Linked DNA regions of Mus musculus. The protein of the gene in region 3 purifies or fractionates together with the protein of the main gene of each other region. This does not show direct contact. Links are inferred from orthologs where the notes say so. Each region holds a gene or a part of one and is shown on either strand. Other genes may lie near its edges. The genes, in order: Fus, Ncdn and Eftud2.

The links.
Region 1: the proteins of Eftud2 (region 3) and Fus purify together in Homo sapiens (affinity purification with mass spectrometry; 3 studies listed by BioGRID and IntAct, with this or other methods). This does not show direct contact. The link is inferred for Mus musculus from reciprocal best matches to the Homo sapiens genes EFTUD2 and FUS.
Region 2: the proteins of Eftud2 (region 3) and Ncdn purify together in Homo sapiens (affinity purification with mass spectrometry; 4 studies listed by BioGRID and IntAct, with this or other methods). This does not show direct contact. The link is inferred for Mus musculus from reciprocal best matches to the Homo sapiens genes EFTUD2 and NCDN.

What each region holds. Positions count from the first base shown.
Region 1 is NC_000073.6:127,973,847-127,977,493, forward strand, and holds part of Fus (RNA-binding protein FUS), read left to right. Parts: intron 1-553; coding exon 554-588; intron 589-2,041; coding exon 2,042-2,074; intron 2,075-3,371; coding exon 3,372-3,475; intron 3,476-3,647. UniProt on the Homo sapiens protein: DNA/RNA-binding protein that plays a role in various cellular processes such as transcription regulation, RNA splicing, RNA transport, DNA repair and damage response. Binds to ssRNA containing the consensus sequence 5'-AGGUAA-3'.
Region 2 is NC_000070.6:126,751,056-126,754,802, reverse strand, and holds the start of Ncdn (neurochondrin), read left to right. Parts: upstream 1-1,373; 5' UTR 1,374-1,799; coding exon 1,800-1,832; intron 1,833-2,235; exon of another isoform or gene 2,236-2,286; intron 2,287-2,721; coding exon 2,722-2,862; intron 2,863-3,747. UniProt on the Homo sapiens protein: Probably involved in signal transduction in the nervous system, via increasing cell surface localization of GRM5/mGluR5 and positively regulating its signaling. Required for the spatial learning process.
Region 3 is NC_000077.6:102,878,473-102,882,219, forward strand, and holds the start of Eftud2 (116 kDa U5 small nuclear ribonucleoprotein component), read right to left. Parts: upstream 2,504-3,747; 5' UTR 2,423-2,503; intron 1-2,422. UniProt on the Homo sapiens protein: Required for pre-mRNA splicing as component of the spliceosome, including pre-catalytic, catalytic and post-catalytic spliceosomal complexes. Component of the U5 snRNP and the U4/U6-U5 tri-snRNP complex, a building block of the spliceosome.

The DNA.
Region 1 (3,647 bases), on a different chromosome or scaffold from region 3:
TTAGGATAGGGCTTAGCTGAGTTTGTCTTGCTCTAAGGGGAAATTGCCTTTGGTTATGACTTTTTATGGAATGGGGTTGGGTCTGCTTGCTGCTTTCAAAGCAAAAACCACAAAACAAAACAATGAAAAATCACGTGTTCAGGGCTATCTCAGGGCCTGGTGTGAAATGTCTTCTGGGAAATTTGGGGTAGATCTTTTAAACCAACTGCTGGGTTGTCCACCACTTGCTACAAGAGGAAAAAACATCTACGTCAGAAGAACAACCAAGGAAAATGAGCTTTTTTTTTCCAGAGGATATAGATAAAACTTTTTAAAGTAAAATCCTTAACTGTGTCTGAGAAATTGCACACGTGTGTGTGATAAGCTCAAAGGTCAGACAAGGGTGGTCAGGAAGGGGTATATTTTAGTAGCCTCTTGAATCTTTTTCCCAAAACAACAATCCATGTTTGGGGAATATTAAAAAAAAAACCCAAAAAAAACCAAAAAACAAAAAACCAACCCTTTTGTAGCCGTTGGAAGCTTCATGTCCTTTCTTCTAACTTGTCTTCTCCAGCGGAAGTGACCGCGGTGGCTTCAATAAATTTGGTGGTAAGTGAACAGAGTTTCCAAAATTCCCAACTCCCAGCAATGCTTTGTCTGATTGTTCATTTGCAGATGTCTTAGCGTGTTAAGTGTCAAAGGTTTCTAAAGTGTCTGTAGCCACCTCCAGAAGGGGTGGGGTAGAATGCCTCCTGCTGCCAGATGTGTGCTAACTGGAGGCCAGCAGGGATAAGCTCTTGGCAGTCTGCTATGTTACTAAATTGGTTTTACACAAGTTAATAGTATTATTTAGTAGGCCTCTTGGTGGGTGTTGCCACATCTAGCACTTAGTGACCACACCATCCTGGGCAACTGGGGGATGTTCTGGAACATGTGGTGCCAACTTGGCTTTAGGATCCTTTTGATCAGTGTGTCCAAGGTGTGTGTGTGTGTGTGCGTGTGTGTATGTATACACAATCTCCCAAATGTTTTAATTTAGGGAGAGGGACATGAAATAGTGCCCTGCCCTGAAGATGGTAAAGTTGGTGTATATATATTTATATTAAATAGTGATGTCAATGCAATTCTACATATGTACTCAGACAAATATATAGGAACTAGATCTGGGAAGGAAGGTGTGGACTACAAGAAAGATCTTGAGTGTATTGCTCATGGGAAATAACCAGGTTTTACACAGCACAAACTTGAATTCATGGAAAAAAATGGCAAATTTGAGAAGTCTCCTAGTAAGCTGGAACTTTTCTGGTTTGTTTAACAAAATGGTTTCTTGATTTGTCTAAAAACACTTAAAGCCAAAGGCTTGGGTTCATGACTTAGGTGTCATTGTGTACAGGTACAATATTTTTATATGGTGAATTTAGATAAACATTGGTTAAAGATGGTGTCTGGAAAAAAATAGGCTGTATTATGAAAACACTTCTGGTCTGTTCCCTGGGACATGCTTTTAAAATACAATAGTAGCTACTATGTATGTTATTTTCATGTTGCTTTGGGGAAACAACATGGTTAAGAATGGTTTTCAAGATGAAATTAAAAATTGTTCTACAAGGGTTGTCTTTGGTGTAAAAGTTTGGAGAAACTGGATGGATGCACTTTACATTGCTGGTGTTGAGCTTACTATGCTTCTCTTGTGAGAGAACAGGGCCAAGTTATGTATGAGTTGGTTGGTTAATTTAAAAGAATTACTAATTCCCCTACCCCCATCTGTGCTGAGGACATTTCCCAGCCCTAGCTGGGGGAAAACAGCATTTTCTTGAAGTGTGTGGCATTATCAATGGGGATTCAAAGTAGCAGATCTTAAGAAAGAGGCCCTTGTCTCCGTCTAGAATTTTCTCCATTGGGAAGGCCTCAGGATAGGGTTTGGAGAGAGGCTGGAAGCAATTACCTAATACATTCCAAGAATTTGCATTTGATGTTAATTTGTTGCCTTATCTGTCCTTTCCTGTTAGCTAATGGTTCCTTTTCCTTGTTTTTGTTTTCTTTTTTTTTTCATGTAACTAAGGTCCTCGGGATCAAGGATCTCGTCATGATTCTGGTAAGCCCATGGTTTTTATATAGTATTCACTTGGATTTTCTTAGAAACAAAAAATACTGCAAAAGTGGAGAGTGATGGGAGGGGCTGTATAAATGCTAGAAACCCTGGATCTGGAAGTTTAGACTTCAGATTCTGGTATTTATTATTTCTAGTACGTCGTGGGTCTTGCTTGGGAGCTGTTCTTTTAAAGTTGATGGTGTTTTAAAGTCCAAAAATTACTAAACCAGACAATTTTTTACTTATTTTTTTGGATTTTTGAGATGGATTTCTCTGTATGACTCAGAAATCCACCTGCCTCTGCCTCCCAAGTGCTGGGATTAAAGGCGTGCGCCACCACACCCGGACAGACATGATGTTTCGTACCTTTATTCCTAACAGGATGATCTCTTGAGTTCATGTCTAGGCCATCCTGCTCTACAGAGCTAGTTCCACGACAGCCTGGGCTATACAGAGAAACTAAACTCAGTTTTAAAAACCAAAACAAAGAAATGCACACATGTAAACTGTTGAGTAACATTAGGTGGATAAAAAGACCAGACTGAAAGATGTGTTAAGGGAACCACTTTACTAGATGTTTTTTGATGGTATTCCTATAGGCTATACTATATTTAAATGTGAAATTGGTCTCATTCCTTTCTTTTGATTTTTAGTTACAGTCATCTACATAATTATTTTGAGGCAGGATCTCTACATAGCCTTGGCTGTCTTGGAACTATGTAGACCAGGCTGTTTTTAGAATTCAGAGATCTGGGGCTGGAGAGATGGCTCAGTGGTTAAGAATACTGACTGCTCTTCCAGAGGTCCTGAGTTCTAATCCCAGCAACCACATGGTGGCTCACAACCATCTGTAATGGGATCTGATGCCCTCTTCTGATGTGTCTGAAGACAGCAGACAGTGCTCACATACAGAATTAATTAAAAAAAAAAAATTCAGAGATCCACTTGTCTCTGCATCCAGAGTGCTGATATTAAAGGAGTGTTCCACTATGCCCTGGCATAAAAAGTTTTTTTTTTTAAACTAAGGAGTCTAGAAATGAAAGTTTGGAAACTGGTTTTTATATTGGGTGTTGGTGTTTCAAGGACAGTAATGAGTAAATGTAAAATTTTTGAAGGAAGTAGATAATACTTAAATATGGATTGTTTTTGATTATCCAATAAGATACTGTGTAACTGGTAAGAATCCTGAGCATTTTTCTTGAAAGCTTTAAAAGTACACATATATGGTTGGTATACCTGGCTAACTTGTCTTTCCGTTTTTTCTTCAAACCTTTCTTTTAATGTGTTGTTGAACAAGCAGAACAGGATAATTCAGACAACAATACCATCTTCGTGCAAGGCCTAGGCGAGAATGTTACAATTGAATCTGTGGCTGATTACTTCAAGCAGATTGGAATTATTAAGGTACTTGATAAACAGTAGGTACTTCCTCTTAACTGTATTACAGGCTCTTAGATTCTTGCCATTAGAAACAAGTCTTAGTGATCTCAGTAGTAAAAACAATCTTTGGCATTTTTTGAGATTGGAGTATAATCCTTTTTTCAAAAATATATTTAATCTGTTTATTCCCAGCAGA
Region 2 (3,747 bases), on a different chromosome or scaffold from region 3:
AAAGAAAGAAAGAAAGAAAGAAAGAAAAAAGTCCTAGATGTTTGAGAAAGTTACAGAACAGACTGCATGAATAGCTTTGCTTATATTTGCAAACACTGTTTTCCAAATAGCTGGAAAAATGAACAGATTGTTCTAGGAGGTCGTCTTTCCAATTTGTTCCTAGTTTCCAGTCTGTTAATCACAAGATAGCACAAGGAGAGTCAGCTAAGGAGCTTTAACAGCTTCTATTGTCAGTTGGGCACAACCACCGTGAGATGAGACCAGGCAAAGCATTCCTGGAACCCCGCCTGAGGTCTTCTACTTTGACTTCCTTCAGTTCGCTTTTTGTGCTCACTGCAGCCACCGCAGGACCCTCTAAGGGGCATAATTGTCAAAATTCTCAAGGAGGAAGGTTTTCGCCAACGAGCCCAGCCCCGCCCCCTTTATTCTGTATCAACTTTTTTTTTTCCCTTTTCTTTTCTTTTAATCTCGATGGGAAGATCATCAAACACCAGAGACAGCAACTCGGGACGAGGCTGCAGAGGTCGAGAGTATCATAAGGACCGCAGTGCCTCAGCCTGGTCTGCCCATATGTCAGGGAATAGAGGGAGCTGCCTGACCAGGCCTGAGTCCCAAAGCGGAGGGGTTCAGATTGGGACTCTGGCACCTGCAAGGCTAGAAGCAGCAGATTTGTCCTGTCCCAGCCAGGAGCGCCATCTCCGGGTCCCAACGCCGGACCAGCGTACCCGAGGCATCGCCCGTCCCGCCTCTGCCCCTCCCCTGAGCTCCTGGTCCTCGGCCTGGCAGTCAGCCGCCCCGGCCACCTACCGGGGCTCAGGGCCACATAGAGGGGTGCCGGCTCTCGGCGGCCTCCGCCTCCTCCCGATCCATGGGCTCGGGGACCCCCAACCTTCTCTCCCCTCACGCAGAGGAGGAAGAAGGAAGTGCTGGCTCCCCACCCGGACAGCTCCCTCTTGCCTCAGCCTCCCTGGACAGCGACCGCGGCCGGAAACGCCGCCTCCTTCCCACCTCCCGGGGCTCAACCCGGAAACATACTCTTCACGCTGAGCCAGTCCTCCTGCCCCCACCCTCCGGAAGCGCAATTCCAGCCGCGAGCCCAAAAGTGGGAGGAGGGGCGGCGCTGAGGGGAGAGCTACGCACAAGCGAGGACGTCCGGGCCCTCAGCCTTTGGCCGCGAGCCCTTGCGGGGCGGCCCGCACCTTTCCTCCTTAGCTCGAGCACTCAGGCCCCAGACTCGGGCAATTGCCCACAAGCAAGATGGCCGCACCGGAGGCGCCCCCCTACTGCTTAGCGCCCTGCTGTGCCATTGGTCAGAGTGCGGAGTGAGCCCAGCGCCGATTGGTCGAGAGCGATGCGGGGGTGGGGGTGGAGCTGTAGCAGCCTGGAGCCAAGAGTGGGCAACGCGGCGTGAGCAGCAGCCCCAGGCTCCCGGAGCATCGCGCCCGGAGAAAGACTTCGCCGCTCGGGGCCGCAGCCTGGTGAGCTCAGCCCCCTTCAAGCCCTCCCCTGCATCTCAGCCGGAGCCTCTCCGAACCGGCGCTGATCGATGCCGAGACTCCCCAGGGACCCTATCGCGACTCCATCGTGCCATATCTCGACATCACCGTACCCTGTCGAGACTCCATTTTGTCACAACCCCTTTCAGTATTTATCTATCTACCTATATATTTTTTTAAATTTGCCCTATCATATTTGGGGGCTGTCCCCTTCATGTCGTGATTTCGCTGTGATCTCTCCGTGACATCACCGCGCCATCGTGAAGTGTGATCTCATCGCTGCCCTGTCGTTCGACTTCATCAATGTCGTGTTGTGACCTGGCTGCGGCGGGACAGGTGGTGACCGCCAGGATCCCTTCTCCCCTTCTCATCTCTCCATCACTGCAGCCCCGCTTCGATTATCCGGCTTTTGGATTCTGTTATCCTGAGAGCCACCCGACCCCTCTTTCCTTCTCCAGCCAGTGCCGGCACCCACAGGCTGTTAGCGGGACGGACAGGGAGAGTACAGGGAGCACAAGGGGTTAATGTTGCTGCTGCTGCAGCAGCAGCTGCAGCTCCTGCTCTTGCAGCCTCTGCAGCCTCTGCAGCCTCTGCCCGAGGGAGGGAAAGAAGAGAAGGCAAGGAGGCTGCGGGGGCGATTAAGAGCCCTGGCTGGAGGGGTGGGTCCACAGGGGAGTCTTCAAAGCCTTCTCTGGAGAGCTTGCCTTCTCACTCCTGCTGAAGCCAGTCTACTTTCTCTGAAGAAGGGAGGGGAAAGGAACCCTAGAATGTCCTTTTCTTCCTTGTCGGCGTGAGTCCGGATAATCGAACTTGACCCGTGTCTGTCTGCATTCCTCCCTGTCTGTCCTCACCGCTCACTCCTCGTGTGCCTCCTGGAGAGAGATAAAACCCGGTGTCTGGTGCCAGGGGCTGCTGAGCAGTTGGGCCAGCTCCTTCCCACTTCTAGACTGGTGAGGAAAGCTGTCCAGCTGAGCAGCGGCATGCATGGTCCTCATATCCCACTTTTCTGGAGGTGACCTTGGACCAGGGTCCCTTCTTCATCCTAAAGAATTTGTAGGTCCAGCCTCTTAAAGGGGCTCCCCCAAGGGAGGTCAGTCATGAGGAAGCCACCCTTCCAAATCCACCCCCCCTCCCTCTGTGCTAATCCCTCCCTACATCCTCCACTTCCACCCCCGCCCCCGCCCCTCCTCTGCAGAGGGATGCTCAGTCCCTCTTGTGTTCACAGTTGGGCAAGGCGGGCATCATGGCCTCGGATTGTGAGCCAGCTCTGAACCAGGCAGAGAGCCGAAACCCCACCCTGGAGCGCTACCTGGGAGCCCTCCGTGAGGCCAAGAATGACAGCGAGCAGTTTGCAGCCCTGCTGCTAGTAAGGACCTGGAAGGTGGGAGGGCTGGTCAGGAGGGCCCCCAAAGAATGGGGTCAGCAAGTCTCCAGGGGTATCTAAGTGGTATTGGCAACCCGGAGGTACCAAAAAAGGCCTGAGACCTCTACCTTTGTACTCTGTTCTCTTGAGAATGGGGGAAGGGGAGAAGAGGGGTGAATAAGACTGTGGCATGGGACCACGGAGGAGGCTGCCTGGATTTGCTTTTTGGGGCGTCCCGGAGCAGATGGGAGCTGACTCATAGGGTAACAGCAGCAGGTTGTAACTAGTGCAGAGTACTTGTGGGCCGGGGTAGCTTTTCCTCGACCTGAGAGAGTAACAGGATGGGGAGTAACTAGCAAGAGGTTCTGAGAGATGACCAGAGTGATGATCAGTATGTCAAAAGTAAAGGGTCTTAGTCTGCTAGAGGAACCCAAGCTGGGGACAGCAAAGCAGGAGCTGCAGTGCTTGGGGTGGGAGGGGGGGGATGAGTTGGTGTGTGGGGGGTGAAGGGAGGAGGGAGTGCAGCAGTTGCTTGTTTGCCATGGCAACAGGGAGAAGGCTCTGGAGTCAAGGGCTCACACTGCAGCAGAGGAGGTGTTTAGGCGAAACGTAAGGGGAAATGTTTTGACATGCGGAGCAACGAGACACAGGAGCCATTTCCCGTGAGAAGGTGTCGGAAATGGATCAGAGACTTCTCTGGAGAGAAGTCCTTAGGGAAGGACCCTGAATCCTTAGAGGATTTGAGTTCTGAAGCCCCTTGCCTCCCAGGTCTTAGGCATATGGATTAATGGATTAGAGACCAGGAGGCACTCCTCAGCTGGCCAGGTGATGACCGTTTGCCCAGATGTGTAGTGAAGGGCCACTGGACAAACTCCTTTCCATGAGGCA
Region 3 (3,747 bases):
ATTTAGGAACATGAGGATTGTCATGTGAGTTCTAGGTAGGATCTAACTCCAAGTCTTCATGGTTGCCTAGCAGGTACTCTGAAATGCTAAACTCTCTTTCCAGCATCTCACTTAAAAAAAAAAAAATAGTATTCTCAAAATATCACAATGCAATCATCAAAATAAAAATGAATACCAGCAGGTTATACTACCTAATCCACAGGCTCCACCAAGTTTGAGAAACTGTTCCAGTCACAAACGACACTGCTAAGGACACAAACTAGGATCGTACTTGACTTTCACGTGACACTTTTCCAGATTACAAACCAAGGCTTTTGAAGAATCTCCCTTCGTGTGGCTTTGCCTCTGCTCTGAGAGGTACACGATTCCAACTTGTCCTCACTGATGATTCTAACTTTGACCCTTAATTATGGTGACAGCGGACATGCTTGTCCCTTAGTGATGGGTAAGAACTCATTGTTCTCACTGCTCTTTTAAAGGACCCAGGTTCGAATCTCATCAACCACACGCTACCTTACAATTGTCTGCAACATCAGCAGATTTCCCCCCACTTCAACGACTGAATATTCTGTTCAAAAGAACAGTTTAGATCTCACCCTACCAGCCTTCCCAGCCCCTCAGCCTCTCACTCTCGTCAGTATCTTCTGTCCCAAATGCTAGGCAACTGTTGTTATTCTAAAAAACAATTCTACGGTTTGCGAGCAACACAAACCAGAGCAGGGGAAAAAGCATCAGGCCCCTGGGGTTAAAGACCTCGATCCATCCTATCTTGGCCTCATTTCTAAGGATGACGTAACTCACAGAAGTTAGTTTACCTCCTTAGAGTGATTTATTATTGCCTAAAACCTTATAAAGGCAATGAGTAAGTACCTAGCTGTGCAGCCTGATAACCTGAGTTCAGTCCTGGAAACCCACTGAAAAGCTACATAGGGTAGTGTGAGTGTCTGTGATCCTAGACGGCCAACAGGAAATGGGAGGCAGAGATTCTCTGAAGCTCAGAGCCAGCTAGCCTGGTATTGGCAGTAAGGAGGAGATAGGACCAAACCCTGAAGCTGTCCTCTGACCTCCACCTGCAAGCCACAGCACATCTGATCCTCACTTACTACACAGAAACACACACACACACACAGAAACACACACAGTGTGATTATCCAAGCATAGGATCTTATACCCATGATCCTACATACATCCTGAGAGACCCTGTCTCAAAAAGCAACAAGTAACAAATGTTGGTCATAACAAAACTTGACCTTCTTGAGCACGTGAATCCCCATGCTCCTTTGTGTTCACGCACCAATGCCCCTGACAGCACCTTGCACAAAAAGACACTCAGTAAAGCTAAGGGAGTGGAATGTTTTGTTCTGAAATTCTGGTATTTCTTACAGTATACCTACTGTTTTTATTTCTAAGAGGCAACCACAATTATGTTCATTGTCTTCTCCCAAGATTACCATCACAAATTTTTAAAGAAGGTTGTTTACTGAACAAGCCAAACTCATCTCTGCCCCCAGGATAATTGTCATTCCCATTGTCCTCTGGCTATGTATACCTTCTTAATTCATTTAACTCACCCTTTTCCTTTAATGTCACCTATTTGTCACTCCACATATACTTGCCAGGCCACCCTTACACTAATCTCTTAGTGTGTGGCTGGGTGCTTAAGATCGAATCCTGGGCCTCACACTCTACTAAACACTTCTCCACCGAGTTACACCCCTCGCCTAAGTAAAGTCAAGGTTATGCCTGAGTAGTACTTAGGGAACATGTGTGTGTGCCCGCTACTGATAAATGTTAATAATAAAATAGGAGCAAAACGACAACAGTGCCTGGGACAAAATAGGCCCTCAATACGTTTTGCTAGTTTTGTTTTTCGAGGGTGGCTTTGGGTAGGGGAGTGAATTAGTGATATGCTTAGTTTAAGTAAAGCTACTCTAAATAACCAAAACTGCATCTTCCCACTGCAACGCAGAATCTCAAAGGAATGCTGGAATCTTTTCTGGTTTTGGCTTTTTGAACCAGACCCGCTACTTAGCCTTGAACCTGCACCAATATTTCTGTCTGCATCTCCAGAGCGCAAAAATTAGGCACTCGCCATCACAGTCAGCTCGGATGCAGAATAGTTTGAAGATGGAGACAGTCTGGCGGTGAAGCAGGCACCGATGGAAGGGGGAGTGGCAGGGGCCTGGGTCTTTACAGCGCCACCTCTACTAAGGGACAGGATCTTAACCACGTTGGGGACCGCGGAAACCCCGGAATCGACGGTGTGTGCGTGCGTTGGGGTCTTTCATTCTCTTTCCCACGCCAGAATTCAATTTACGCGTTCGTTAAGCGAAAGGGATAAGTACTATATAAATCGCCTCTTCCCAAGCTCATGTTTCGCTCGTTCCCCAAGCCCCGAAAGGACCCTTCCCGGCCAGCTCACCCGCCGAATGCTCAGCCGAGTGCCCCGGTCCGCCGCCTGAGCCCGCGCTTCCGCCGCACGCCGCGACAACGCCGGCGCCCGGCGCTAGGAAGGACCCCGAGCGCGTCGCCGGACCGCCTCGCCTCGGAGGACAGCTCTGCCTAAGGAACAGCTTCGAGAAATTCTGGCCCCGGAGACAGAAATGGGAAAGGCCAACTTGTTGGTCCTCAAAACGAAGCGTGGACTTCTCCACAAAAAAAGCAAGGCCGGAGGATTCTGATCAGGCGCCTTAGGACAGCCTGAAAGGAGGGCCTTCGGGCCGGTCACGTGGGCAGACTGGTGGCGCCGTTGCTAGGCAACAATCTCTGTTGCGAGGGCGATGCACTAAGGTGTTCTACCAGATCCGGGGTTTCTCGAGAGAAAGCAGGGAGTCCAAGACTGGGTGAGGGTTTAGGGACAGTAAAGGGGATTGCTCTAGTCATTCTATAATTGGAGAAGGCTTAGAACTCGACAGAGAAATGGGTCGGGTAGCGAGAGTCTATCGTCTCTATTGCTTAGAGGCTGAGCCTAGATCATGATGAGCTCAGAAGTTTTGGAGAGAGCAAACTAGGCACAGCGAGATCTCCTCACCCCCCAAAATATTGCTTAGGGTATGAGACTCTTGAGTACAATTGTTGGCTGAGTAACACAGCCCACTTCTCGGCGTTCCATTTCCCATCATGGTTGGGATGGCTGTGGATTTGCTTGCGGACCAGCTCATTTCCTGCCCTAGGGCTGATCATGAGTGAACTATGGCTCCAGCTCACCAGGATTCTGAGGTGGAAAGAGGTATCATAAGTAAATGTCAGAAGCCAGACCGGAACACATAGCTTCCTATGAAAACAGCCCCATCAGACACATACCGGGAGGCGGCAGGACTTCAGTGGTAGGACTGGAGATAATGCCCACACAGCACACATTTGCCTGCCGCTCTGTGCTGCTCAGGGATTTGGGGATGGAGGCTACTGAGTTTTCTCCTTCTGACACTTCTCAACTTCCTGCTTTGTCATTGCTTTTGGTTGAGGTGATTTTTTTTTCTTCATTAAAGACATTTAGTGAAGTGTGAAATTTTGTCCTTGAGCTGGAGTAGATAATAAAAGAAACCTCTCTGTCTCTCTCTGTATCTGTGTCTGTCCTCCCCTCTCCCCCCCTCCCCCGCTCTGTTCCTTTATGGTAATAAACTGATATAGAGAAATCCTATGTGAAAGAATGAAGAGTCAGAAATCTGAACTCCAAATTGCCTCCTCAGATGAAACACCTGAATTAATAGGTGTGTGTGTGTGTTGTGGTTTTGTGTTTTGCTGGGG